7 linked regions of the Macaca mulatta genome follow. The protein of the gene in region 1 interacts with the protein of each later gene in a biochemical or structural test. Links are inferred from orthologs where the notes say so. Each region holds a gene or a part of one and is shown in the gene's direction. Other genes may lie near its edges.

Evidence for each region.
Region 2: the proteins of PARP1 (region 1) and MACROH2A1 form a complex in vitro, tested with the Homo sapiens proteins (2 studies listed by BioGRID). The link is inferred for Macaca mulatta from reciprocal best matches to the Homo sapiens genes PARP1 and MACROH2A1.
Region 3: the proteins of PARP1 (region 1) and APLF form a complex in vitro, tested with the Homo sapiens proteins (3 studies listed by BioGRID and IntAct, with this or other methods). The link is inferred for Macaca mulatta from reciprocal best matches to the Homo sapiens genes PARP1 and APLF.
Region 4: the proteins of PARP1 (region 1) and H1-2 form a complex in vitro, tested with the Homo sapiens proteins (2 studies listed by BioGRID, with this or other methods). The link is inferred for Macaca mulatta from reciprocal best matches to the Homo sapiens genes PARP1 and H1-2.
Region 5: of the proteins of PARP1 (region 1) and CHFR, one has a biochemical effect on the other in vitro, tested with the Homo sapiens proteins (2 studies listed by BioGRID). The link is inferred for Macaca mulatta from reciprocal best matches to the Homo sapiens genes PARP1 and CHFR.
Region 6: the proteins of PARP1 (region 1) and PCNA form a complex in vitro, tested with the Homo sapiens proteins (3 studies listed by BioGRID). The link is inferred for Macaca mulatta from reciprocal best matches to the Homo sapiens genes PARP1 and PCNA.
Region 7: the proteins of PARP1 (region 1) and ERG form a complex in vitro, tested with the Homo sapiens proteins (2 studies listed by BioGRID and IntAct). The link is inferred for Macaca mulatta from reciprocal best matches to the Homo sapiens genes PARP1 and ERG.

The regions. Positions count from the first base shown.
Region 1 is NC_133406.1:84,124,320-84,127,819, reverse strand, and holds part of PARP1 (poly [ADP-ribose] polymerase 1), read left to right. Parts: intron 1-554; coding exon 555-653; intron 654-1,445; coding exon 1,446-1,598; intron 1,599-2,528; coding exon 2,529-2,656; intron 2,657-3,439; coding exon 3,440-3,500. UniProt on the Homo sapiens protein: Poly-ADP-ribosyltransferase that mediates poly-ADP-ribosylation of proteins and plays a key role in DNA repair.
Region 2 is NC_133411.1:144,247,819-144,251,108, reverse strand, and holds the end of MACROH2A1 (macroH2A.1 histone), read left to right. Parts: intron 1-1,019; exon of another isoform or gene 1,020-1,152; intron 1,153-2,045; coding exon 2,046-2,211; 3' UTR 2,212-2,790; downstream 2,791-3,290. UniProt on the Homo sapiens protein: Variant histone H2A which replaces conventional H2A in a subset of nucleosomes where it represses transcription. Nucleosomes wrap and compact DNA into chromatin, limiting DNA accessibility to the cellular machineries which require DNA as a template.
Region 3 is NC_133418.1:56,275,922-56,279,860, reverse strand, and holds the start of APLF (aprataxin and PNK-like factor), read left to right. Parts: upstream 1-1,139; 5' UTR 1,140-1,319; coding exon 1,320-1,415; intron 1,416-3,939. UniProt on the Homo sapiens protein: Histone chaperone involved in single-strand and double-strand DNA break repair.
Region 4 is NC_133409.1:157,052,015-157,055,447, forward strand, and holds H1-2 (histone H1.2), read left to right. Parts: upstream 1-1,217; 5' UTR 1,218-1,259; coding exon 1,260-1,901; 3' UTR 1,902-2,933; downstream 2,934-3,433. UniProt on the Homo sapiens protein: Histone H1 protein binds to linker DNA between nucleosomes forming the macromolecular structure known as the chromatin fiber. Histones H1 are necessary for the condensation of nucleosome chains into higher-order structured fibers.
Region 5 is NC_133416.1:140,240,552-140,244,051, reverse strand, and holds part of CHFR (E3 ubiquitin-protein ligase CHFR), read left to right. Parts: intron 1-976; coding exon 977-1,076; intron 1,077-3,500. UniProt on the Homo sapiens protein: E3 ubiquitin-protein ligase that functions in the antephase checkpoint by actively delaying passage into mitosis in response to microtubule poisons.
Region 6 is NC_133415.1:78,833,558-78,837,626, forward strand, and holds the start of PCNA (proliferating cell nuclear antigen), read left to right. Parts: upstream 1-1,269; 5' UTR 1,270-1,461; coding exon 1,462-1,682; intron 1,683-2,394; coding exon 2,395-2,492; intron 2,493-2,583; coding exon 2,584-2,651; intron 2,652-3,925; coding exon 3,926-4,069. UniProt on the Homo sapiens protein: Auxiliary protein of DNA polymerase delta and epsilon, is involved in the control of eukaryotic DNA replication by increasing the polymerase's processibility during elongation of the leading strand.
Region 7 is NC_133408.1:8,954,632-8,958,902, forward strand, and holds the start of ERG (transcriptional regulator ERG), read left to right. Parts: upstream 1-1,471; 5' UTR 1,472-1,659; coding exon 1,660-1,755; intron 1,756-4,271. UniProt on the Homo sapiens protein: Transcriptional regulator. May participate in transcriptional regulation through the recruitment of SETDB1 histone methyltransferase and subsequent modification of local chromatin structure.

The DNA.
Region 1 (3,500 bases):
GAGGTAGACCAGCATTCCTAGGTTTTCTGAACTTTGAATATAAATATGAAAATAAAACATAACTAGTCTCATCTATAATACTCAGGTTTACTTAGCATAGATTACGTCAGCTATTTGACAGCTGCTTGTTAGGCTTGTGCACTGGGCCAGGGATAATTTTAATTGCACATCATAGCTGTGACTTCCTCTGACCCATTGTGTTTTAACTCATGCTGAGCTGGACTCTCTTCCAGGAGCCAGTTGCTTGTTCTGGAAATGCCCTGCTCACTGACAGTGAGCCCCATATTCCAGCTTCCCTGATATCCCAAAACATAGAATTTTAAGACAAAAAGGAACCCTGAGCCCAAGTAGATGAAGAGGTGGAGGCTCAGGAAAGTGGAGCCACTGGCCCAGGATCTGCCCAGCCCACGGGCCTGGGACACAGGCTCTCGGTCATGCCTGGCTTCCTTTGAGGAGTGTGGTGTTGAGCTGTGCATCGACTGAGCCTGAGCATTCCTCCTCTGTAGCTCTCCTGGGGTCTCCTTTGTGCTAATCCCAAGATTCTGTTTACCCAGGTGGTTGGCAGAGATTCTGAAGAAGCCGAGATCATCAGGAAGTATGTTAAGAACACTCATGCAACCACACACAATGCGTATGACTTGGAAGTCATCGATGTAAGAATCCCTTCTTCCCCCACTTTCTTCTGTGTCCTGCCAGCTTTTCCCTGCCCACTCCTCCAACCTGGGCCTGGGTAGAAAAGAGCAGTTTACTTACTTTAAATAATCCAAAGAAGTGACTCATTTGTTCAGCAGAAAAATTAGTCTTTTTTTTTTTTTTTTTTTTTTTTTTTTTTTGGCATGGAGTCTCACTCTGTCACCCAGGCTGGAGTGCAGTGGTGCAATCCCAGCCCACTGCAACCTTTGCCTCCCGGGTTCAAGTGATTCTCCTGTCTCAGCCTCCAGAGTAGCTGGGATTACAGGCATGCGCCACCACACCCGGCTGATTTTTGTATTTTTAGTAGAGGCAGGGATTCACCATGTTGGCCAGGCTGGTCTTGAACTCCTGACCTCAGGTGATCTGCCTTCCTTGGCCTCCCAAAGTGCTGAGATTATAAAATTAGCATCTTATACAGTAGTTTGGGGATGGCTTTTTATTATGTTTTAAAGGACATTTCCCATCCCCAAACCTGGTCTCAGAACGTACAATTATCAGAGGTCTAAGATAAAGTTCCTCAAGTGCACATCTGCTGCACAGTAATACTAACTAGCAATGGCTGGGCTCTGCTGGGCCAGACCTTGACCTTCCATCCCAGCCTTGTGGAAAACATTTTCTGCATTGCAGCAGACCTTAAGTCTTCTAGCCTTAGGGACAGCCAGTCATTTCTCCTGTGTCCAGTCCTATCTTTCAATCAACCAGAGTAACAAATGGCTTCTTTTGTCCCTCCCTTTGTTTACTACTACAACCAGATCTTTAAGATAGAGCGTGAAGGCGAATGCCAGCGCTACAAGCCCTTTAAGCAGCTTCATAACCGAAGATTGCTGTGGCACGGGTCCAGGACCACCAACTTTGCCGGGATCCTGTCCCAGGGTCTTCGGATAGCCCCGCCTGAAGCACCTGTGGTATGTGCCTGGCCTAGTGAGGGGTGGGCAATACCTGTCTCTGCAGGTGTCTCCATAAAGAACTTTGAGTAAGAGGCCTAGTTGGCTTAGGGGGATTCTGCCAGACATCCTTTCTTTAGGCCTTCACCCTTTTATCCTTCTGACCCTGATCCTGTCAGGAGTTTAAAACACAGTTTCTGGAACAAAGGAGATAGAGCATCCAGGCCAGGGCCTGCTGCAAATGCTAATCGGGTGTGTTGATGAGCAAAGAACAGACACGTGGCTACAGGCCAAGCTGAGTCCAGGCCTACCTCTACCACTTCCCAGCCGGGCCACCTCTTGAGTGTCAGTGTCTTCAGCAGGAAAACGTAGTGATAAATAAGTAAGGCTTTACCCAGACACGAGGGGTCGTGATGCCACCTGCTGGATTCTAGATGGGTCCAGCTGGACAGGGCCTTCCAAGCCTCTAGTTTCACAGTTGTAGAACGAGGAGGAGAGTGGTTTAAATGATTCTCTCTGGTGCTGTGCAGTAGTGTATAACGGGCAAATGGCCTACCCTTTGTGAACCTTGTGTTTCACTTACAAAAGGGAATAAAAATACCAGCCTGCGTTCCTTGGGTGTTGACAGGCACTAGTTTAAGTAACATTGATGAGCTCATTCCATCCTCACAGCAGCTTCATGAGATTATGTTCCCCACTTAAAAGAGGCAAGTAGAGTCCAGAAAGGTTACATAGCTTCTTGCAGCTCCTTGGCACCTGGCAGAGCTAGGATCTGAGCAGCCTGGCTTGTGAGCTAAAACTTTGGTGTTTCCTCAGCATGGGCATTGTGAGAATTAGAAGTGATGGATTGCAGCACTTAGCTGGGTGGCTTGCTCATGTTGGCACTCAGTGAACAGCTGCTCCTGATTTCCCATCAGAAGATTCTCAGCTGTCCCTTTTCCAACCTTCCAGACAGGCTACATGTTTGGTAAAGGGATCTATTTCGCTGACATGGTCTCCAAGAGTGCCAACTACTGCCATACGTCTCAGGGAGACCCAATAGGCTTAATCGTGTTGGGAGAAGTTGCCCTTGGAAACATGTGAGTAAACCTGGCTCTGGGACCGATGGCATTTCATGGGGACAGATGGAATGGGCTATAGGCAGAACTCCCTTTGGCTGGGAGAGTGGAAATTCCCCACTACGTTACTGGACCTGCCAATTAGGATTCTTTTCTTGTAAATAACAGAATCCAATTCAAGTTAAGGGAACAAGGGAGATACAAGGATACTTCAGGAAATGCAAGGGCAGGAACGCAGCCAGGCCTCCAGAGCTGGCAGTGTCTTCTCTCCACGGACTGGGAAGCAGAGAGATTGAGTTGCACAAAGGATGATCCCCCAATGGCCTCCTCCTCCACTCAGCAGTGTTTCAGTTTTCTTAGACCAACCCAAATAGAACTGGAATCTTAATCCCACTTCCAGATTCTCCACAGAGAAAGATCTGATTAGTCCAGCTTGATTTGGACATCCACCCTAGTCCTGTGAACTGTAACCAAAAGCACAGGGTCATGTAAACAGCCAGGGGTCTGGGGACTGTGGAAAGCGGACAGAAACCCAGAGCTGCCGTTCACCACTCCATATAGGGCCTTTCCTTGAAAATGGCCCCATAGCAGTGATCGCTGGGCACAGACTATGTTCAGCCGCAACCGCAGCTTCAGGTTCTGGAGCAGTTCCAGAAACTCGGGAGGAAGCCTGAGCAGTTAAGATGGTCTGGGTTTTGTGGGCTTTTATCTCATCTCTATATCTGATCTTATTCTCCTAATCAAACTGTTGGTTTTGAGAGCACAGTGTGAAAGCCTCTTCTGAGCCCGTCCTCTTTTGAATAGGTATGAACTGAAGCACGCTTCACATATCAGCAAGTTACCCAAGGGGAAGCACAGTGTCAAA
Region 2 (3,290 bases), on another chromosome or scaffold:
AACTGCTATTTGCAGCAGTTCCACAGGCCCTCAGCCCAGCCCCCTGTGCGCACGTGAGGCTGAGACAGGCAGGAGGGCACCTCACTGCAGGAACCTTGGAGCTGGCAGAGCATAGTCTTGGGCTTCACATGCAGAAAGCAACTTCTCACAGCTCCTCTCAGCACCCTGCAGCCCCCGTTCATCCAGGTCACATCCACAGACGGGGTTCTGCCTGCTCCAGAAGCTCTTGGCCCCTTGGCTCAAGTGCAGGCTGCAACAGGACTGAGGAGCCCAGCCCATATCTGGAAGCAGCCTGAGCTGCTGGAAAGATGCCCCCAAAAATGGAAGACTGAGTTTATCTCCTCAAGCAGTTCCCAACATGGCTCAATCCAGATAACCTGTGCTCTGTGCTCCTTGACTCCTGTGACTATAGTGAAGGCAGCTGTGCCTGGTGTGGGCCAAGATTTCAGATCTGCAAACGGCACTGGTGCCAGAGGAATGACCTGTCTGCTCTCAGCAGAGCCCTTTTCCTTCATTATACATGACACCCACCATCCTGGCCCACCTATTGGTCTAGAATCACCAGGATCTCCCAGGAGGAAGCTGCACAGGTCTAACACCACTCTTGTGGCCAGAGCGGCTCTGGAGCTCTGACGCCTCTCATGGGCAGGGTTGTATGCACTGGCTGCTGCTCTGTGGGTGTGCTCTGTGGCTGAGGAGCTGCCACCTGTGTGTGAAGGAACCGTGGGTTGCCCCCCACTAATTAATTGCCTGCAGGCTCCTTCACATAGGCTGAGGGCACATCTCTTGTCCTCTAAGAGGGAACTCCACTCCCGAGGCATCCAGAAGCTCCTAAGTCTCCACAAGCTGGAAGCCGTGTATGGTCAAAAGCAAGTCACAAGAGGGTTTCCCCTGTGGCTGTCAAATGCACTGTGCACTGTCAACAGTGGACCACTGAGGTGCTCCAGGGCCAAGCCAGGAGGTTCAGAATGCACAGGCATGCAGTGAGTGAGGCTAGCAGTACTACAGTAGATGCCTACCTTACACCTCTGGAAACCCCTCCACCTGGCAGCAGGTGCCTCATGTGAAGAACTCCAGCTGAAATAGGCGGACTGGCCCAGTGCCTTGGACACCAACACACCCACAGTCTCAGGTGGATCGATGACCGTAGATCTGCCAGTGAACAAAGAGCCACCCATGAGAGCTGGCCCCAGACTCACCCTCAGTATCCTTAACTAAAATGGGACCAGTAAGGGATGTGAATCCAGGGCCACTGGCTCTAAACCCAGGTTTTCACTAGAGTAGGCAAGCTGCCTATCTCCTCCTGGGTCTCCTGGGCTACCCACATGCCATGCTGACCAGGAGCAGCCTCAGGCACACCACAGAGCAGTGAGGGCCAGTCCCGATTTCACATTTTTAAATCCAGAGCATCTACCTCCAGAAATTGCCACATGACATTTGAAGCGGAAGTGTATGTGGATTCAAATACATATGGCTTGGAAACTTGGATGATAGCCCTGAGTTGAAGAGCCCACTGCTCCCTGCGTTGTGGCCTCTGGGGTGGTACCGCTGGTGTGTGTTAGAGGGTGATTCCTGGGCAGTGGCCCCTGGTATGAAGGGGTAACTCTTCTGTGTGGGTGGATAGAGGTCAGTGCCTTCCCAGAGAACCTGCAGCCATTCCCTGGGGCTGACATCGAGAGCCTGGGCTATGGCTCAGGCACTGTGCTAGTCAAATGCATGACGGAAAAAGAAAATCAGGAGCTCACACTGCACTTCGGGGGCTTAATGCACACCACAAAACACTATTCTGTTTGTTGGCTGCTGCCTTCTCTGAAAGCACATAGCACGTCCTTCTGCAGGTGCCAGCTCTCTGTCCAGTTGTCTGTCCCCCGTCCCGTCTTCTGGGCACTGGGCTTTCCCACGCTGGTATACAAACAGACACAGGGCTCAACAGACACGGACCCAATACACAGCAAGCTGCAGCACAGAGGTGGCCCGTAGGGTGGGGCTGGTCCCGCGGTCCCCATGGCATCCCAGTTGCTGAGTGCTTGTTTTCTCTTCTCCAGGAACGGTTTTCCAAAGCAGACAGCAGCTCAGCTGATTCTGAAGGCCATCTCCAGTTACTTCGTGTCCACAATGTCCTCTTCCATCAAAACGGTGTACTTCGTGCTTTTTGACAGCGAGAGTATAGGCATCTACGTGCAGGAAATGGCCAAGCTGGACGCCAACTAGGCTGAGCAACGACAGAACCAGCTGCACCATGTACCCCACCTCCAATTTAAAAGAAAAAAAAATCCCCTTCACTCCTACTGGGAGGTGGGACCCCTTTCATTTTCAGTTTTGCTCATCTAGGGAAAATAAGGCTTTGGTTTCCAGTTCAATTGTTTTTGACCTTCTAAAATGTTTTTATGTTAGCACTGATAGTTGGCATTACTGTTGTTAAGCACTGTGTTCCAGACCGTGTCTGACTTAGTGTAACCTAGGAGATTTTATAGTTTTATTTTAATGAAACCCTAATTGACGCACAGCAGTGGGGAGAACAGCGTCTTTTACTTGTCGCCGAAGCCAGGAAGCCCCGTTTGTAACCGTGTGTTGTGGTGCTTTATCGTACACCCAGTGGCGTTCTTTTTACTCTAATGTTCTTTTTTTTTCCCCCTCAGAAGAATCATGAATTTGCAACAGACCTAATTTTTGGTTACTTTTTGTCTTAATGATGGATTTGAAAATGGAAGATTTAATAAGGCAAAGCAGAATCTGTTGTCCTTAATTATATTTGCAATTTGGAATTTGTGTGAGTTGATTTAGTAAAATGTTAAACTGTTGTTGTGACTGGTGTGTTTCAGTTATTGTGCCTGTGAGTCGCGGGTCCTAAGTTGGCCTCTGCAGTCACAGGATGTGGGAGCAGGGCAGCCCATTCCCCTCAACCCTTGCCCTGCCCCCACAACTCCTTGGATGCTCCACAGTGTTCAGTGCAACCTGGGTGGGTGTGGGCCATCTGCTGGTCTCAGTGGTTTGTAGAGAGAATTTTTATAAAGCCTCACCTTTTGGTTCTGTGGGACCCTTGGGCCAGGGTGTTATCCCCATTCCACAGATGAAGGAGGGAGTATATCAAGAGCCATGCAGGTGGCATGTGGCAGGCTGGCGCAGAGCCAGGGCTCCAGACCCTGAGCCCAGCTCTCTCCTTACCATTGTCCCCTTCTGACAGTCTCTGGCTCAGGGCTGGGCCTGGCCACTTGCTGATGGAGCTGCCGGAGCCTCATGCCCTCTGCCGGGACTGCTGGGTCTGTCATCCCTGCAGGACGGGATCCCTG
Region 3 (3,939 bases), on another chromosome or scaffold:
CACGGTGGTTCCTATTCATGATCCAGATTAGCTGTGGTGGCTGGAACTGTAGTCTGTGTTCAACAGAGGTCTTCCTCTTGAGGGTTGGGGGAAGTAAGAAAGCAAACTGGTAAAAACGAGTGAGTCAAGAGCAAGTTTTTGCCATGCACCTTGGCCCCTCCCACCACCAATACAAACCAAAGCCAAACCACAAGGTTCTTGAAAAGAATCTCACATTAGGAAAACGTTACAGTGTATTTAAACGTTACGGTGTGTTTATCCACTTCTCCCAGGATCTTACTGGGAGAATAAAATGCCTCCCCTTGTGGAATTCCTGCAACGGGAATGAAGGTTTTTGAATTTCACAGCAGGGGATGCCTTGGCGAGGTTCTAAAATCCCACTAGGAATCTTTCTTCTACGTCCAGGTTCGCCTGGATGCCTGGAAACGACCCCTCTTCTGCCCTTTCTCCTTTATGAATCGAGCTTTGCTGAATTCTCTCTCAAGTGAGGTAAAAGCTCGTCTCCCTTTCAACTATCACTCGGAGGGATAGATTGGCGGCAGCGCATAAGGTGGGGCCGGGAGCCCCACTCAGCCCACATCCCGCGGGTCAGGGCTAATCACCCCACGTCCCATCTGAGCCACCTTCCTTGTGTCCTGCGCGGGTTGCAGCTGCTGGAAGCCAAGAACACGGAGCACTGACAAGTGACAACAACCGTCAGCGCTGTCACTGCGGCTCCAGGCCGCGGAGGGAAGGCTGAGCTTGCGTCAGGGCCGCGTCCCCGGGAGCGTAGACATCTAAGCCAACGGGAATGGAAGATCCTCCTACCTACTGGGCCGCGATGGCTTCTCCTCCCGCGATTTAAATCCTCCGGAATTCGAATCTTTCCCCATAGCTCTTCTCTTCCCGCCCACCTAAGCCCCACCCTGCTGACTCGGAACTCGCGCAGGCGCCGAGAGGGGGCGCGTAGTGCCTTTGGGGATTGGTAGTTTTTTCCAGGGCGTCTTAGCTCGGGAAAGGAAGTGAAGAAAGGCGCCAGGACTACAAGGCCCGGCGTCCTCCAAGAAGGGAGGGAGGTGAAAAGGGTGGTGGGGAATAAGCCGGGGTTTTTAAACAATAATTTTGAGGCGGCGTGACTGGGGAATCCCCGATTGCGTCATCAGTAGGCGTGGAGGGACGGGACTCGGGAAACTGCGCTGGGGCTGGGCTCTGACAGGACCGGCGCAGGCGCGGGTAGCCTTTGCGGCCCTCCCCCGCTGTTTTTCCCAAGTCCTGGGCTTTCCCCGCGGAAACAGCGGAGGGGCCAGTCTCCTGGCGAAGGGGCCTAATCCTTGCCCGCCATGCCCGGGGGCTTCGAGCTGCAGCCGCGGGACGGCGGTCCCCGGGTGGCCCTGGCGCCCGGGGAGACTGTGATCGGCCGCGGGCCGCTGCTGGGAGTAAGTGTGGGCGGGGGCTCGGCGGACCCCGAAAGCCGTGGAGGTCCGCTCCGGCGCCTGAAGACCGGCCCTAGTCCTAGCCCTATTCCCCACCGCGCTGGTCCGCCGGTCTGGATTTTATAAGTTTGGGGCCGCAAGTTTTTCAGTTACCTTTAAGCAATTCACAAACATTTCTTTATGTTGCTTTAAAAACACTGACTGTATTACCATTATTATCTTTTCCGGGGTTTGGCAAACTAGAGTCTGGGGGCCAAATCCAGCCTATGTTTGTATGGCCCCGTGAACTAAGAATGATTCTTAAATTCTAAAATGTAAAATATAAACAAAAAACCTACCAATTTTTCCGGGAGAATATTGCTGCAAGGGTTCAGGGTATTGTGGCTTGTCCTGTAAAGCCTAAAATATTTACGGTAGTCTCTGGCCCTTTACAGAAAAGTTTGCCAAACCGTGATATTATGTCTTCTAGGCTAATTTAAGCTTTGGTCTCCTTTGCAGAGCTGTGTGGACCTTATTTATTTATTTGTATTATTTATTATTTCCAGTAAAATGAGTAGCTAATCCTTAATAAGGAATGTGTATAGCGTTCGAGTCATTGGTCTAAGGAGACATTATCTATACCAACATCTTTAACTGTCAGGTATTTTTATTATCCTCATTGTTCAGATGAGAAAATTGAGCCATACATACGTTATTTAAGGTCCATGCATAAGCTTTTGGACACAATGCCACAAAACTAAATATTCTCTACCTTCTTTGGGAGGTTTAGGAATGAGAACATTTGCATATTGCATTCCAGAATTCTATAGAGCTCTTCTTAAGTACATCTAGTTTTTAATTTTTTTCTTTAACATTCAGCATTTCTTTTTAGTGCTCACTGTGTAGAACATTTTGCAGATTCTAGCACTGTGGGGCATACAAAGATGAATGGAACATGGGTCCCTGCCCGCTAGGAGTTTTCTCTTGGGACTGGGAGACACCTGTGTCAGTGAGCTAACACCAAAGAGTGAGGAGTGTTTACTGTTATCCTGATTGACTTCTAGAGTCTAAATGGAACCATTGGTACTTGCCTTAGGTCCCTTCTGGGAGCAGGGAAAGGAGTGGTAGTTTAAGATTGTGTTATGGAAATTGGTCCTAAAGGCGTGTGTGTGTTGTGTGTTGTGTACATACACATGTGCATGTAGTACGGTTATTGAGACAGTACTCAATTGCTGTTCTTTTTTTTAACTGACAAGTGATTATTTAAATGTTTAACATCATTTCAATTTTTTTTTTCGTCGTTTATTAGCCTTACAAACACTGGAAGGAACTGGAGGCTTTATTTTTCTGTTTTTCTTTTAAATTCGTAGGTTAGAAACTTAGAGTATGTGTTTCATCTAGTAATCATGTGTCTGGTGACTAATGAGTTTTGACTTGCTTAAGACATTGTCACCAGTAGAGTACCTGGGTCTGGTTAAAAGATGGATGAATTTTAGGGCCGTGTTGTAGAAACTTGGCAACAGATTGCATACCCTTTCATTATTTGTAGCTTGTTCTTTGTGTTGTCGACTTGCTAATGTGAGATGAGCCTATTTGGTATCTGTTTTTTAAAATGATAGGGAGTGAAAGCTGGGCAATTATCTGGTCAAGATCTTGCTTTTCCTTTTAAAATAACATTCAGGGATGAGATTCTGTTGCCAAGGTTGGCAGGTATCAGAAGTGCTTATGAATGACATCCTAAGTGTGTTAAAGGAAAAATTTGGAGAACAAACAAATCACCTTGTAGTTTTTTCGATTTTGGAGCTGACAGATGCACTCGATTCTTCTCCGCAGTGGTTAAAACACAACATAAGGGCCCCTGTTTCCAACAACAGGAATTCCAGTGAGACTTATTTTTGTTTTGTGAGAGAGCGAAGACTGAGTTCTAAGTGGAAAACTCAGTAAGTTCATTGTAAATTGGTATACATTGGAAATGATTAATATAAATAAGGATGATTTTGAACTTTCTTAATTGGGCACGTTTTTCTGAGACAAGCTTCACAAACCTTGATGGCCACACAAACATAAAAGTTTATAATCCCACTGTGTAAAATAGTCTTAGTAGTAAAACAGTTTGACAATGAGAATATTTTTATATTTTTACGGTGGTAGGAAAACACAGAGAAACCTGTCACAAACAAAGGACAATGAAATTTAATCTTTCTTGTGCCCTTTGCTTTCACGTGAGTCATCAGAGAACCCCAGCTCTTTGTTTACTAGATTTTGATTCTGCTTCATGATTGGCATCAGTTAGATGGTTTTACAGCAGGATTTATCTTCAGAGAACTTAAGTTAAAACAGCCAATCCAAAAGATTACATATTGTGTAATTCTATTTATATAACATTATTGAAATTGCAGATTGCAAAATTTCAAAAATGGAGAACAGATTAGTGGTTGCCAAAGGTTAAAAAATTAGGCAGGAGGGCAGATGGGAATGGATATGGCTATAAAATAGCAACGTGAGGGATATTTATGGTGACAGAAATGTGCTTTGTCTGGACTGTGTC
Region 4 (3,433 bases), on another chromosome or scaffold:
GTTTCAGAGGGGAAAAGAAGAGGTGATTTTCAGCTCATCAACAAAAGATCTTATAATAAATTACATGTTCTGGTACTTTTCCTATCTTTCTGTGTAAATTTTTGCTATTTAAAAAATAAATTTCAAATATATTGTTCATCTTAAAAGTCAAGAGTTTGTTTTATTAAAGTCAGTTGCTTTATTTGCAATTCAAAGATATATTTGAGTTTCAAACTGGAGATTGTCCTGTACGGTAACTTGTGTAAGGTGTGGTTATTGAAAGTAACCTCTAATTTTCATGGGCTGAAATTCATCTCTAATATTGCAATGTACAAAAATAAATAAATAAATAAATGCTTGTTTTCTTTGAAAACATATTATCTCAGTGCCTCTAACTGCCAAATCTATTGGCTTTCTTTGCAGGCTTAAGGGATCTCCCTTGTTCCTTTATTATCTCTATCTTGAGAGCCAGACCTCCTGCCTTACACAACTCAGAGGGGGACCTCAGAGCTTTTTAAAAAGAGCCCAATTTCTCGCCTGTAGAGAAGTGAAAAGGATGCCCCGCCCCCATCTATGAAAAGAAGGATTTGATGGTTTCAATGTCTTCAAATCAAAGATTTAAGTCTCTAGCCCCCCACCACACCGGACCCTACCAAGGCTCATGAACCCCCTCCCATCCCTCCCTAATTACTTTGGACTGGCCCTGGAATCCTTGTCCCAGTCCACAGTTCCTGTGCGTCTGCAGGAAGAATTCACACAGGACCTGTGTTACTTCCCTTGTGAAGAAACAGAATTATCATGAAAATTTAGGTGGAAACCATTTCGCTTTTTTTTTCAAAAATAAGGGAAGCATGTGCCCAACCACCCCTGGGAAAAAGAACTTTCAGGGGCAAAGGAGCGAACAGGTAATTTATAAGAAAAACAGAAAGTGGTCTCTGACTGCCCCAGACTTCCTTCGGAGTTGGGGGAATTGGGGACGCCTGGACGCGTTGTTTTTGTGGTTGTGGAAAAAATAAATGAAAAGCCTGAAGCCCGAGGCTTCTGAGATCCTTTCCTGACCAAATCCGGGTGATTTGGTGCAGGGAATTTTAATATTTTTCCCCTTTTGTGAGGTGGAACAAACACAACTTGGGAGCAGCGCAGCGACTCAGAGCCTGCCAGCCAGGCGGGCCACCAGAGCACCAATCAGAGCGCTCCTGCGCTCTATATATACAGCGGCCCTGCCCAAGCGCTGTTTCATCGGCGCTTTGCCACTTGTACCCGAGTTGTTGATCCTCAACATGTCCGAGACTGCTCCTGTCGCTCCCGCTGCCGCGCCTCCGGCGGAGAAAGTCCCCGTAAAGAAGAAAACAGCCAAGAAATCTGGGGGGCCGCCTCGTAAGGCATCTGGTCCCCCGGTGTCAGAGCTCATCACCAAGGCGGTGGCAGCCTCTAAAGAGCGCAGCGGGGTTTCTCTTGCTGCTTTGAAAAAAGCGTTGGCTGCCGCCGGCTATGATGTGGAGAAAAACAACAGCCGAATCAAACTTGGTCTCAAGAGTCTGGTGAGCAAGGGCACTCTGGTGCAGACTAAGGGCACCGGTGCTTCTGGTTCCTTCAAACTTAACAAGAAGGCAGCCTCCGGCGAAACCAAGCCCAAGGTTAAGAAGGTGGGCGCAGCCAAGCCTAAGAAGCCGGTTGGGGCAGCTAAGAAGCCTAGGAAGGCGACTGGCGGCGCTACCCCGAAGAAGAGCGCTAAGAAAACACCGAAGAAGGCGAAGAAGCCGGCCGCGGCCACTGTGACCAAGAAAGTGGCCAAGAGCCCAAAGAAGGCCAAGGTTGCGAAGCCCAAGAAAGCTGCCAAAAGTGCTGCTAAGTCCGTGAAGCCCAAGGCCGCCAAGCCCAAGGTTGTCAAGCCTAAGAAGGCGGCACCCAAGAAGAAATAGGTGGACGCCTGCTTCAAAAAACCCAAAAGGCTCTTTTCAGAGCCACCACTGATCTCAATAAAAGAGCTGGATACTTGTTTTTCTTAGTTGCCCTTGTTCCTTTTCTTGCTCGACCCTGCTCCTTAAGGTTAGTCGAACGGGAACCTTATAAGACAAATAAGTAACGGGGGTTCGAGAGTGGCCGTGGTGAGGTTACGGCGCTTAAACCTTTACTGCGACTTCCATGTCCCTGACTGCTGCTTCGAGGCGTTTCCCGCTGGCGGATGTTTTTGGGATGGCAGTCAGCCACGCCCCAGGCCTGTGAAAGGCAGAAAAGATCGCAAAACAAGAGCCAGTTTCTTCGTCTAAAGGGATATCCGGATTGGACTAAAAAATAATTCAAAAGTCCCGCCCTGCTCCTGGGTTGGTCCGTCGTTCTAGTCCATGACTTTAATTCTATATTTAATTGGATGGTGGCAGACGTTGCTTATTCCGTGTGTGTTGCTTCTCTGTGACTTGAAAGTTTTGCCTCTTGATATTAACGTTCGGGATTTCGGACGCTTTCCATGTTGTAGGTAGTCAAGTTGGTATCTCCTGGAGGTAGTGGCAACATCCAGCCCTGGGAGGAGAGTGCGTGCAGGTACCTTTGTCCTACATTCCTCTGCTGTTAATTTCTCATTCCTGTGGTAACAAAGGAATGCATTTGAATAAACAGCGGCAATAGCCCTTCCTCCACCCAAGGCAATCGTGGACCTAGGGAGCTTTTTGTTTCTCATATCATGCATGTAGTGTTCCGCTAAACTGACAGATTTGAGCGTATCGATTTTGAGCGTATCGAAAGCACAACTTTTAGCCAGCCATTTTGTCCTCGCTTGACGGTTACTTATCCTCAGTTTAGGCAGACATCAACATTTAAAAATCGAAGTTCTTTTAAACACATTTTGTTTGGCAGTCCAAGTGTTTCTACGCGGAGAACGATTTGTACTATTAACTAAAGTATATGGATAAATGAGAGACATTTCTAATAAAGGCCTTCGTTAATGGTTCCCTCTATTTGACACCCATGGTGCTTCTGAATACAGAAAACCTAGCGTCTTATATTCGGTTCTTTTAAAATCTGATAGGCACATTTCGGTGAGACCTAAATTATGTGGACCGGGACTTCTGGAGATAAGCTGCTCAGTTATTCTACCATCTCCACAATGATGAATGTAGTGAGTTAATTTCTCTGTTAGTGATAGTGACCACGGATTCATCCCAAGAAAGGGAGAAAGGGGAGGGAGGCAAGCAGAGAGACAGGGAGGCAGAGGCAGGGAAGAAGGAAAAAGCATTCTCCCATGGGTTAAGTAATTTTGTGTTGTTAATTTTACATTACAACACGGTTTACATGGTGAACTCTATTTTGGTGTAAGGTTTAATATATGGACATATTTTCTCCCAAGACCATTTATGAACTTTCATTTCTGCTTCCCCCTTCTTCCTTCCGTGTCACCCTCCACACTCCTATCAATTTTGGCTATTTTTGTCATAGGCTAATAGGCTAAAATTTCATG
Region 5 (3,500 bases), on another chromosome or scaffold:
GTCATTCTATGTGGAACATTTGGGAAAAGTAATTTGCATGGCACTGTCGCCTGACCAAACCCTTCACTTTTTAATTGCCTTTAGTGTCTTATAGTATCTCTATGTATCCTTATAGATTACTATAAGCAGTAATGATTAATGATGAGATATTAAAAGCCTTTGTTCTTTTTTCTTTTCTTTTGAGACGGAGTTTCATTCTTTTTGCCCAGGCCGGAGTGCAATGGCATGATCTCAGCTCACAGCAACCTCCGCCTCCCAGGTTCAAGCGATTCTCCTGCCTCAGCCTCCCAAGTAGCTGGAATTACAGGCGCCTGCCACCATGCCTGGCTAATGTTTGTATTTTCAGCTTGGCCAGGCTGGTCTCGAACTCATGACCTTGTGATCTGTCTGCCTCGGCCTCCCAAGGTGCTGAGATTACAAGTGTGAGCCTCTGTGCCCGGCTGTAAAATTGTCATTTGAGAGGCTGTGTGTAGCTGGAGGTGTTGATGGGTGTCTTTGAGAGGGTGGGGATTCAGAAAGGTTCAGGACGGGCCGGGCGCGGTGGCTCATGCCTGTAATCCCAGCACTTTGGGAGGCCGAGGGGAGTGGATTGCGAGGTCAGGAGATCGAGACCATCCTGGCTAACACGGTGAAACCCCATCTTTACTAAAAATACAAAAAATTAGCCAGGCATGGTGGTGGGTGCCTGTAGTCCCAGCTACTTGGGAGGCTGAGGCAGGAGAATGGTGTGAACCCGGGAGGTGGAGCTTGTAGTGAGCTGAGATTGCGCCACTGCACTCCAGCCTGGGCAACAAAGCAAGACTCTGTCTAAAAAAAAAAAAAATTTGTTTTTCATAACTGTCTTGGTTAAGTGTTTTTCTTACATATGTACAAGGGGGATCCTGAGTTTGAACCACATACTTTGGTAAAGCAAAGGGCATTAGGGTTCACAGTTCCCACAGTCATATTCCATGTCATCCCACCCTGTCTTTTGTAGGTTGCGACCTTTCGTTCCCCGGCAATAAACTGGTCTCTGGAGATCACTGTAAAATTGTAGTGGATGAAAAATCAGGTCAGGTGACACTGGAAGATACCAGGTGAGTATGTTCTGAGCTTCTTTTGGTGTTTCTTCTTGTACCTTAAGAAGCCCGACTCCGTGCTAGTGTGCTGTGTGCCACGGCCGAGGAGCAGAAGAAATGCTGTCTTTGGTGTGATAACAGCACAGTCGTGTCCCTTAGCAACACGGATACAGTCTGAGAAATGTGTCATTAGACAATTCCATCATCTTGCAAACATCATGGAGTATGCTTAAACAAAACCTGGTGGTATAGCCTACTACGTACCTAGGCTACATGGTGCAGCCTGTTGCTCCCAGGCTGGAAACCTGAACAGCGTGCCACTGAACTGAATGCTATAGGCAGTGGTAACACCACGGTAAAAGTATTTATCTATCTAAACATGGAAAAGGTGCAGTAGAAATAGGATATTTTAGTCTTATGGGACTACTACCGTGTATGTATCTGTTGAACAAAACGTTATTATCAGGCCGGACGTGGTGGCTCACCTGTAATCCCAGCACTTTGGGAGGCTGAGGCAGGCAGATGAGGTCAGGAACTCGAGCCCAGCCTGGCCAACATGGAGAAACCTCGTCTCTATTAAAAATATAAAAATTAGCTGGGCATAGTGGCATGCACCTGTAATCCCATCTACTCGGGAGGCTGAGACAGGAGAATCACTTGAACCTGGGAGGTGGAGGTTGCGGTAAGCTGAGATGGTGCCATTGCACTCCAGCCTGAGAAGCGAGTGAAACTCCGTCTCAAAACAAAACAAAACAAAAGTTATTATCTGGGACATGACTGTAGTTAATTAGGCTCCCAAGGTATAAGAAGACGTATTTCCTGGTTTCCAGGATGGGACACTTAGTGACACTTTGGTATCTATGACCCTTCTTGAATGTATTCAAATTAAATATGTCTCAGAAATAAGACTTAAAAGATGCTCGTAATTTTTAGTTCTTGCAAGCCTATTCAGGTTTGATTTCTTTCCCTCAAATCCAAAAATCGTTTTTTAAAACTAATAAATTCTCGTTCTTGTACAACTTAAGTACAGATTGAGTATCTGAAATGATTGGGACTAGAGTGTTTAGATTTTGAATTTTTTCAGATTTTAGAATATTTGCATTATAATTACCAATTGAGCGTGTCTGATTCAAAATTCTGAAATGCTCCAGTGGGTATTTTTGAGTGTCTTATTGGTGCTCAAAAAGTTTAGGACTTCAGATATCTGATTAAGGACATTCAGCTTAGGGATATTCAACTTAGAAAGTGGAAAGCTTTCCAAAATCCCGTTCATACATTAGAAATACATGTGCAGGTGGCCGGGCGCGGTGGCTCAAGCCTGTAATCCCAGCACTTTGGGAGACCGGGACGGGCGGATCACAAGGTCAGGAGTTCGAGACCATCCTGGCGAACACGGTGAAACCCCGTCTCTACTAAAAAATACAAAAAACTAGCCAGGCGAGGCGGCGGGCACCTGTAGTCCCAGCTACTCGGGAGGCTGAGGCAGGAGAATGGCGTAAACCCGGGAGGCGGAGCTTGCAGTGAGCTGAGATCTGGCCACTGCACTCCAGCCTGGGCGACAGAGCCAGACTCCGTCTCAAAAAAAAAAAAAAAAAAAAGAAATACATGTGCAGGTATATATATTTTGCATTAATGCGATTACGCTACGCATACTGTTGTAGCGTCAGCTTTTTTCTTCTTCTTTTTTTTTTTTTTGAGATGGAGTTTCACTCTGTCACAGGCTGGAGTGCAGTGGTGCAATCTCGGCTCACTGCAGCCTCCACGTCCCAAGTTCCAGTGATTCTCCTGCCTCAGCCTCCCGTGTGGCTGGCATTATAGGCACGCACTACCACACCCAGCTAATTTTTTTGTGTTTTTAGTAGAGACGGGATTTCACCGTGTTGGCCAGGCTGGTCTCAAACTCCTGATCTCGGGTGATGCGCCTCCAAAGTGCTGGGATTACAGGCATGAGCCACTGCGCCCGGCACTCACGCCTGTAATCCCAGCACTTTGGGAGGCCGAGGGGAGTGGATTGAGAGCTTTTTTCACTTACAGTGTTGTGTGGAGCGCTTCACATGTCCCTGCGTCTGCATCTATCTCATCTTCTTGTCATTTTAGGATAGTTTCTTTGTCACTTCCCTTATTGGTGGACATTTATTGTTTTGACTTTTTCTTACTATAAATAACACTGCAGTGACTCTTTCCCAAACTCTGCTTTCATGTCTGTTTTCTTGGGATGATTCTTGAAAGGGAAACCTGTGTCAGTGTCACTCAGAATGTGCCTATTCCGTTTTTTTTTCTTTTTTGAGATGGAGTTTCGCTCTGTAGCTCAGGCTGGAGTGCAGTTGGTGTGATCTCGACTCACTGCAACCTCTGCCACCCGGATTCAAGCGATTCTTCTGCCTCAGCCTCCTGAGTAACTGGGATTACAGGTGCACGCCACCACGCCCGGCTCAGATGGGG
Region 6 (4,069 bases), on another chromosome or scaffold:
AAAAAAAATTGAATTTTTGACACAGATGAGCAATGATTAAAAAATGAGATTGCTAATATCTGTAGTTAGGAAAATAAAGATAAATGAGCATGTTCATACACAGTCTTGGCTAGAATGTAAATTGCAAACTTTTAGAGATTTAGTAACATTTATCAAAAATTTAGCCGGGCATGGTGGCACATGCCTGTAATCCCAGCACTTTGGGAGGCTGAGGCGGGTGATCACCTGAGGTCGGGAGTTCGAGACCAGCCTGGCCAACATGGTGAAACCCCGTCTCTACTAAAAAAAAAAAAAAAAAAAATTAGTCGGGCGCGGTGGTAGGCGCCTGTAATCCCAGCTACTCGGGAGGCTGAGGCAGGAGAATCATTTGAACCTGGGAGGCGGAGGTTGCAGTGAGCCGAGATCGCGCCACTGCACTCCAGCCTGAATGACAGAGCAGGACTCCATCTCAAAAAAAAAGAAAGAAAGAAAAGAAAAAAAATTAAATGTGTACGCTCTTTGACTCAGCTGTATTACTTCAAGGAGTTGATAGCACCAAAATTGCCTAAGTGCTCAAAGGTGTTTGTAATTAACAGGAGATTGATAAGTTACATACATGTGATGCTATCTTTTAAAGAGGTACTGATATAAAAAAGATGTACGTGGCATAAAATTAAATGTACTTTATTAAGTACTTTTTCGAAGTGTTTACGGAATGAGTGCATTTTGAAAAAAAAAAGTGTATTCGAACTTTCAAAAAAGCTTTAAAAGCTTTATACAAGGAACGATTGAGTGATTATAAGAGCTGGCAGTGGAATGTTAAGAGGTGAGAGGGAGCTAAGTTTAACATAACTCTTTATGGTGTGACACTTAGGAGCGCATCACTTTTGTAATTGAAAAATAAAGTGCATATTTGCAGCAGCTGTACTCTTCAGGCTACAAGGAGGCTTTTCCTCCCGGTAGGCTGGATTTGCTTTTCACTTTCACTTTCGTGGCTGGAAACTTTCTACCCACGGAGCTGGAGGCTGAGGAGGCACCATAAAGCTGGGGCTTGACGAACCGGGGCCTGGGCCGGATCCCCACATATGCCCGGACTTGTTCAGTGGTCAGGTTCAGGAGTCAGGCGAAGAGGCGGGGAGACCTGCGGGACGCTGCCCCGCCCTGCACCCGCTTCCTCCAATGTATGTCCTAGGGGGCGGGCCTCGCGGGGAGCATCGGCACGATTGGCCCTAAATTCTAACCCGCCCAGGCCGTGGGCCGGGCAGCGTGGTGACGTCGCAACGCGGCGCAGGGTAAGAGCGCGCGCTGGCGGACGCGGCGGCATTAAACGGTTGCAGGCGTAGCAGACTGGTAGTTCTGTTTCTAGGTCTCAGCTTCTCGTCACGACGTTCGCCCGCTCGCTCTGAGGCTCCTGAAGCGGAAACCGGCTAGACTTTCCTCCTTCCCGCCTGCCTGTAGCCGCGTTGCTGCCACTCCGCCACCATGTTCGAGGCGCGCCTGGTCCAGGGCTCCATCCTGAAGAAGGTGTTGGAGGCCCTCAAGGACCTCATCAACGAGGCCTGCTGGGATATTAGCTCCAGCGGCGTAAATCTGCAGAGCATGGACTCGTCCCACGTCTCCTTGGTGCAGCTCACCCTGCGGTCTGAGGGCTTCGACACCTACCGCTGCGACCGCAACCTGGCTATGGGCGTGAACCTCACCAGGTGAGCCTCGCGGCGTCGAGAAGCCGGCCCCGGCCCACCCCCACCTCCGGGGTTTGGCGGGATCGCTTCCGAGCCGAGCCCTCATTGGCTGGCGTGGACCATCCGCACCTTCTCATTGGCCTGCCATGCAGGGGGGTGGGGCCCAGCTGAGCGCGCGGTTCGGAAAAGCCCGCGCTGGCTGCTGCGCGAACCTGCTTTTTCGCGCCAAAGTCACAAAGCGGGTGGTGGCGGGAAAATGACTGGTTTTTCTGCAGTGCCAGGAACACTGCTCCAGAGCTTTTGCTCACTAAATCCTGTTGGCCTTGAATGGACGCTTTAGTTGTGGCTTTTTTGTTTCCGAGACGGTCTCGATGTGTTGGCCCGGGCTGGTCTCCAACTTCTGGGCTCAGGCGATCCTCCCGGCTCAGTCGCGATTGACTTTAAATGCTTTATAATGTGCCCTTGCGAGAAAAGTGTCAGCCTGTCATCCTACTTAGTGGCAGGAGATTGTTTCTATCCAGAAGGGAAACTGCTGGTGGTATTTTAGTATAAATACTGCCAGATGCATCCCAAAATGTCTGCATTAATATTCGCATCCTCCAGCAGTGCAATTACCCTCCACCAGTTCTGAGACGGCCTATGGGTGAGAGTGGTAACCCCTTCTAACTGCATTAGAAATACAGACCTTCAGTAGATGGTGTTGATTTTAAACCATGTGTCTCCTGTCTTCTAGTATGTCCAAAATACTAAAATGCGCCGGCAATGAAGATATCATTACACTAAGGGCTGAAGATAATGCGGATACCTTGGCGCTAGTATTTGAAGCACCCAGTAAGTCGTACCTTTTTACTGAGTTATGAAGCTACAGAAGATCAAAACTCTGTGCCAGTGTTTCTCAACAGCATTTGCTTTTTTTTGGTAGACCAGGAGAAAGTTTCAGACTATGAAATGAAGTTGATGGATTTGGATGTTGAACAACTTGGAATTCCAGTGAGTATCAGTTTCTGATTGTAGCGACTGCTGTACACAGGCATGATAGTTATATCATAGAATGTTGTTTATTTTTACAGACAGGGTCTTCCTCTTTTCCCCAGGCTGGAGTGCAGTGGTGCCATATAGCTCACTGTAACCTGGGACTCCTGGGCTCAAGCAATCCACTTAGTCTCCTAAGTGGCTAGGAAGGACTACAGATCTGTCCCACCACGCCTGGCTAATTTTTTTATTTTTGTGTGTGGGTGTGGGGGCAGTCTTGCCCAGGCTGGTCTGGAACTCCTGGCCTCAATGATCCTCCTCCGTCAAGATAAGTTAATATAATTTAAGCCTACTTCATAACAGAACTTTTTCTAGAAACATATCTACTGGTGCATGTTTTAAAGAGATTTTAGTATTTGGATAGTTGTTTACCACAAGTCTAAAACTCACTGGTTAAATTTATTGTTTACTGCCAGTTGTCTATTTGCATTAATTTCCATGAACCTCTTTTAAAATTTGCTTCCTTCTAGGATGGTTGGTTTTGTTTTGTTTTGTTTTGTTTTTGAGGCGGAGTCTCGCTCTGTCGCCCAGGCTGGAGTGCTGTGGCCGGATCTCAGCTCACTGCAAGCTCTGCCACCCAGATTTACGCCATTCTCCTGCCTCAGCTTCCCGAGTAGCTGGGACTACAGGCGCCCACCACCTCGCCCGGCTAGTTTTTTTTTTTTTTTTTTTTTTTTTTTTTTTGTATTTTTTAGTAGAGACGGGGTTTCACCAGGTTAGCCAGGATGGTCTCGATCTCCTGACCTTGTGATCCGCCTGTCTCGGCCTTCCAAAGTGCTGGGATTACAGGCTTGAGCCACCGCGCCCGGCCCGATGCTTGATTTTTGTTAAGTGGGTTTGAAAGCTATCTTAGAAGAAATGTATCCAGGTTAGGTTTATAAACACCAAAGGAGAGAAGAAATGTTGGAATGTTGAAAATGCCTAATATCATATTCTCTCGTTTTCTTTTAGAAAATAGTTAGACCTGCTTGCGCCGTCATCATTTCTGTGGCATACTCTAATGTTCTCTTACTTTATCCCTGGAGGATGAGGAGGAGGAGGCGCTTGTTCCCTGGGCAGTGCATTTAATAGCCATTTATTTTTTTTGAGTGGAGTTTGTTAAGAAATTACACGAGTCAGTAATCAGAAAATCTTGATTCTGAGTTGTTTAGATGTTGCCTTTTAAGAAAGTGAGGGTGCCAAATCATTAAATTTCTAACAAGTAACTTTTGGAAAATTTTTGTTCTTAATAGGAACAAGAGTACAGCTGTGTAGTAAAGATGCCTTCTGGTGAATTTGCACGTATATGCCGAGATCTCAGCCATATTGGAGATGCTGTTGTAATTTCCTGTGCAAAAGACGGCGTGAAATTTTCTGCAAGTGGAGAACTTGGAAAT
Region 7 (4,271 bases), on another chromosome or scaffold:
CAGAACTCTGACACATGCTGGCCTAAAGTCTGAGTGAAATCCATTTACTGAACGTCCAACTCTGCGACCAGGAATTGCCAGATGACTCAGGATTTGGTCTATTGTGTTCTTCGGGTCCCTATTGAGACCACACCTCTTTATGGGTCCTGCGTTCCTGTAGCTAGATTCAAAGCAAAATGTTTCTTCCAAGCAATTTCCTGAAAATGAGTAATTAGAGTCCTGAAACCCTCTAAGGAATGTTCAGGCCTGCATTTGCTGTACTTCCTTCGAGGAGAAAACAGACCTGTGACCCTGAACTTATAGCTTGGATTTTAAACATGTCATGGGGCCCTCACATGGCATCTCTGGGTAGCCAAAAGTTCTGTGAGGATCTGTTGTCTGCAACATGGATGTCTGTCAGAGTGAGACCAGCTCGCTGACATTCCGGGACGTTTGTAGCCATTTCAGTTGTTTGGATTTTAAGTAAATACTTGAAAACAAGACTTGGGTAGGTTTATTTTTCCTCTTTATTTTTCTTGTTTACTATAAGCCTAGAGTCCTCGCGTTTTCAACAACTTTGTTGTAGAGCAAATAAAAAGTGCAAGGATTTGGAAGGAGAAAATGAAACTGTTCTGGAACACTCATATGAAATGTTGAATAAATATAGGTTGTTAAAAATCAGCCAAGCAATGGCTGTTACTGAACATGGCCATCTATTAACATGAAATAAACACCACCTGCAAAGTTTCCTTTTAGGAGAAAGGAGCTCAAGTCCTCTGTCCTAGTAATTCTGCGAAGAATTGGGCTGTGAAGGGCTGGCACCCGGGGCAGTGGGGTGCCCTCAACGCCTTGGTTCCAAGGTGCTTGCAGCCCATGTGAAGCCATGCGGAGTCCCATCACATCTGCATCCTGCCTTGGTCTCAGTGCAGTGTGTCACACGGCGGCACACCGGTCACACCTGCTGTGGCAGTCGCCATCCCAATTGATGCCTTTTCTTTTTTTAATTAAAAAAAAAAAATCTCCTGGCTGCATATCATCAAGAAAAACAACATTGTTTTCAGGGTCTCTTATCTCTCCACTCCCAAATATCCTGTTTCTTTGGGCTGGACAGCCAGGACCAATAGAAACCTCTTCCTGCCATTGGCTGACTTCATTTCCCAGACTTAGCACAATCTCATCCGCTCTAAACAACCTCATCAAAACTACTTTCTGGTCAGAGAGAAGCAATAATTATTATTAACATTTATTAACGATCAATAAACTTGATTGCATTATGGCCAGCACTATTAAGGTAAGGAAAGGGTTCCTTTTAATTTGACAAAATCTTGTTCTTGTTACTCTTTTCTTTGGTTTCCTTTATCAAGGCAGATAAGTTAGGGTTGGGCAACACCCCCACTGCCACAATAGAGGACAACAAGATTTCCTTTGCACTGCCTAGTAAATTTCCTTTTTCCTACTCCAACCATCCGCAAGGCTTAAAAACTTCAAACTCAGAAAAAAATTGGGGTTTCTAAATTCACTGTTGAGTGCTGTGGATTACTTTTGGAAAGGCTTTTCGGAGCGCTTCTGAATCTTCTGATTCTCTAACTATCCCTAACGGTGCCTGGATGTGTGTCTGAGAAAAGGCAGCAGACTCGGAGAGGTTGAAGGGTCAGGTCAAAGCAAAAGATGGGTTTGTGAATGTCGGACATTTGGAGGTTCTTCGGTGGCTCCTTAGCATCAGGGATGCCAGGCAGTCCCCATGGAAGCGAAGAGATACTCGGCAAGTGGCTGCTGGTAATGGGATGCAAATGTTGACTTGATTTGGGGGACATCCATGCTGAGAACTGAGTGTTCTCGTAACTCAAACGGGGGTAATTTGGTTTGTTCTGTTCTATGTTTATCTTCAATAAAATACCTGCTCTCTGTGCACCGTGAGTAAGATTTCTTCCTAGCGATGGTTAGGTTTGTGGGGTTGGAAAGCAATGGCCGGTCGGTTCTCTGGGCTCTGGGGTGTTTGGTCTGATGCGTTTCCTTGCCTACGTTTTTAGTAGATAGCATATAGAGATTAACGTGGAGGTCAGTCTGCACAGGTACAATCCTAAATATGGCCTGATTCCTGGAAACAAAGCCAATTTAATGGTGACTGCAAGTCTAGGGGCATGCAGTCTTGAGTGGGGGTCTGTTCCGTTGTTTTAAAGGCCACCATATCTTCGTGACATTTGTAGGAATGTAAAAAAATCAGCAGCAAAAGCAGATACTGAGTGGAGGAAAAAGAAAATTGTATTTGTTGCATGTCTTTAGTTTTGCTGCGTGAAGGTGAAAAGCATTTGGTGGTGTTTTCATGAGGCTTCATGAGGCTTTCAGTTCGTTGGAAAGTGCATAAGAAAATGGAAGTGTGCCCAGAATTGGGCCAAGGCATTTTCAAAAATATTCTTTGGTTTGGTATTTTCATAATTTGAAATGTTTGTATTAGATTTGACTCATATGTACCATAGAAACTGTGTTTCAGAAGTTCAGCTTTTATTTCTCAAGGTGTGTTCAATAATATATTAAAAATCTGTGTACCAAGAACTTTCACCTTATAGAGACTTTTCTTTCTTTGGCTTCAAGGATTGGAATCTGCTGAAATATGGCTCCTGTAGAAAGGAATTATAAAATTGAGGGTTAATGTGCCCTACTTTTAGCTGCATGAATAGAAATTACTTGATTTTGTGACACAAATTGCTATCTTTTTTTGTTCTTGTTTTCATCCTTATTTATATTCGTGTTTGTTAAATCAAATATTCTGTGTCAATCTTGAATAGCTTGGGTACAATCTTATGTGTTTTTTCCCCCCAAAATTAGTGCATTAAAAAGGACATTGAAATAACAGACCATCCTTTAGAAGGTAGGTACATTTTGCAAAACATCCAAATATGTTATACAGTTTAATTTAAAATATACATTTATGAATACATGAAGCTATTTTGAAAGTTTGAATATTTTTTGATTTTCTGAATGATTTTTTGGAAAAATAGTTTACACTCGTCTAAGATACTATGCTTGATTTAACATTTTATTCCATTGCATTATGTGTTTATTGTACGTACCCAAGTGAACCTTTAGAATGCTGCAGGTGAATTTTTTTTTTAATCTTCTGTTAAAATAGTCCCTCTTTATAGGTGACTTCCTTTAAGACATGTTTCTGTTAGATTTCCTGGGTAAAGTAATGAGATGATTTTACAGCCTTGTTTATAGAGTGGAAAAAGGAGATCCTGAGTCTGTTGACTACAGTTTTAATTACATTAGCGCAAAGCCCAAATTAGCGTAGGGAAAATTATGGCTGTCCACTGGAATTAGGAAACAGTCCCCCATAGAGGCAATTTCCAGTCTCCAATGCACTCTGTTTTTTTGTTGTTGTTTCAGTAAATAAATCAGTTAGTCGATTAGGTATCAGATGCTCTGAATTTGTTGTTGGTTTTCTGCATTTGAGTGGAGTTTTTATTTTTTTGCATTAACATTTGTAAGACCCTATGAGGCACTATGAAAAGCTAAATATTCTTATCCAGTCTTTGTGATTCTTACCATCATTTTTCCTTGGCAACTTGAAATTGAGAACAAAATATTTCAACTGGAAGAAGTAAAGCAATTTTGGAATTTTGGGAACTTATGTGAGAGTGCTCATTTACGTCTAAGTGTCTGTGAATTTTAAGATCAGCTGAAGAGTTCTAGTAAAGACTTGGAAGCAACAAAGCCGATGGTTTGCAGACAATTCACGGATCGGTTTTGGTGCTTCCCTTGGGCGTTCATGACATCTGACAATATTGACAGGTGCTGAACCTCACCGGCTCCACTGTCCGCACAAACAGCTCAGTGTTTGCTACAGACTCCAGGAATCCTGCTGTTGCCCTGAAAACCCGATTGTGCTTCAGTTAGGAGTTTTAGCCTAATTTCCCAAAGACTTTCCTGATTCCTTTTTTTTTTTTTAATGCCATCTGCAATTTGGGAAGTCTAATGAAGCCTACAGTCCTTTCTCAGAATAATACTTTCAGGTGCATAAAAAGAAATACATAGAATTACAACAGAAATACAGTTCTCTCCCTGGACCTTTTAAGGAGAACATGAACCCCAGGTTGCAAGTTCTGATCCTAGAAAGATCCTTACTGTGTAAAAAGGGAATGTGGGGGATTTTCCGTCATCACAGAGATCTGACATTGAAGGATGTGGAGAGAGCCAGCAGCCGGCAGCAGCGTTAGGGGAAAGCATCTTAAAAATCAGGATGTGGAAAGTTACTAACAAGGCTTGGTGGAGATCTGAGGGCACCCTAGTAC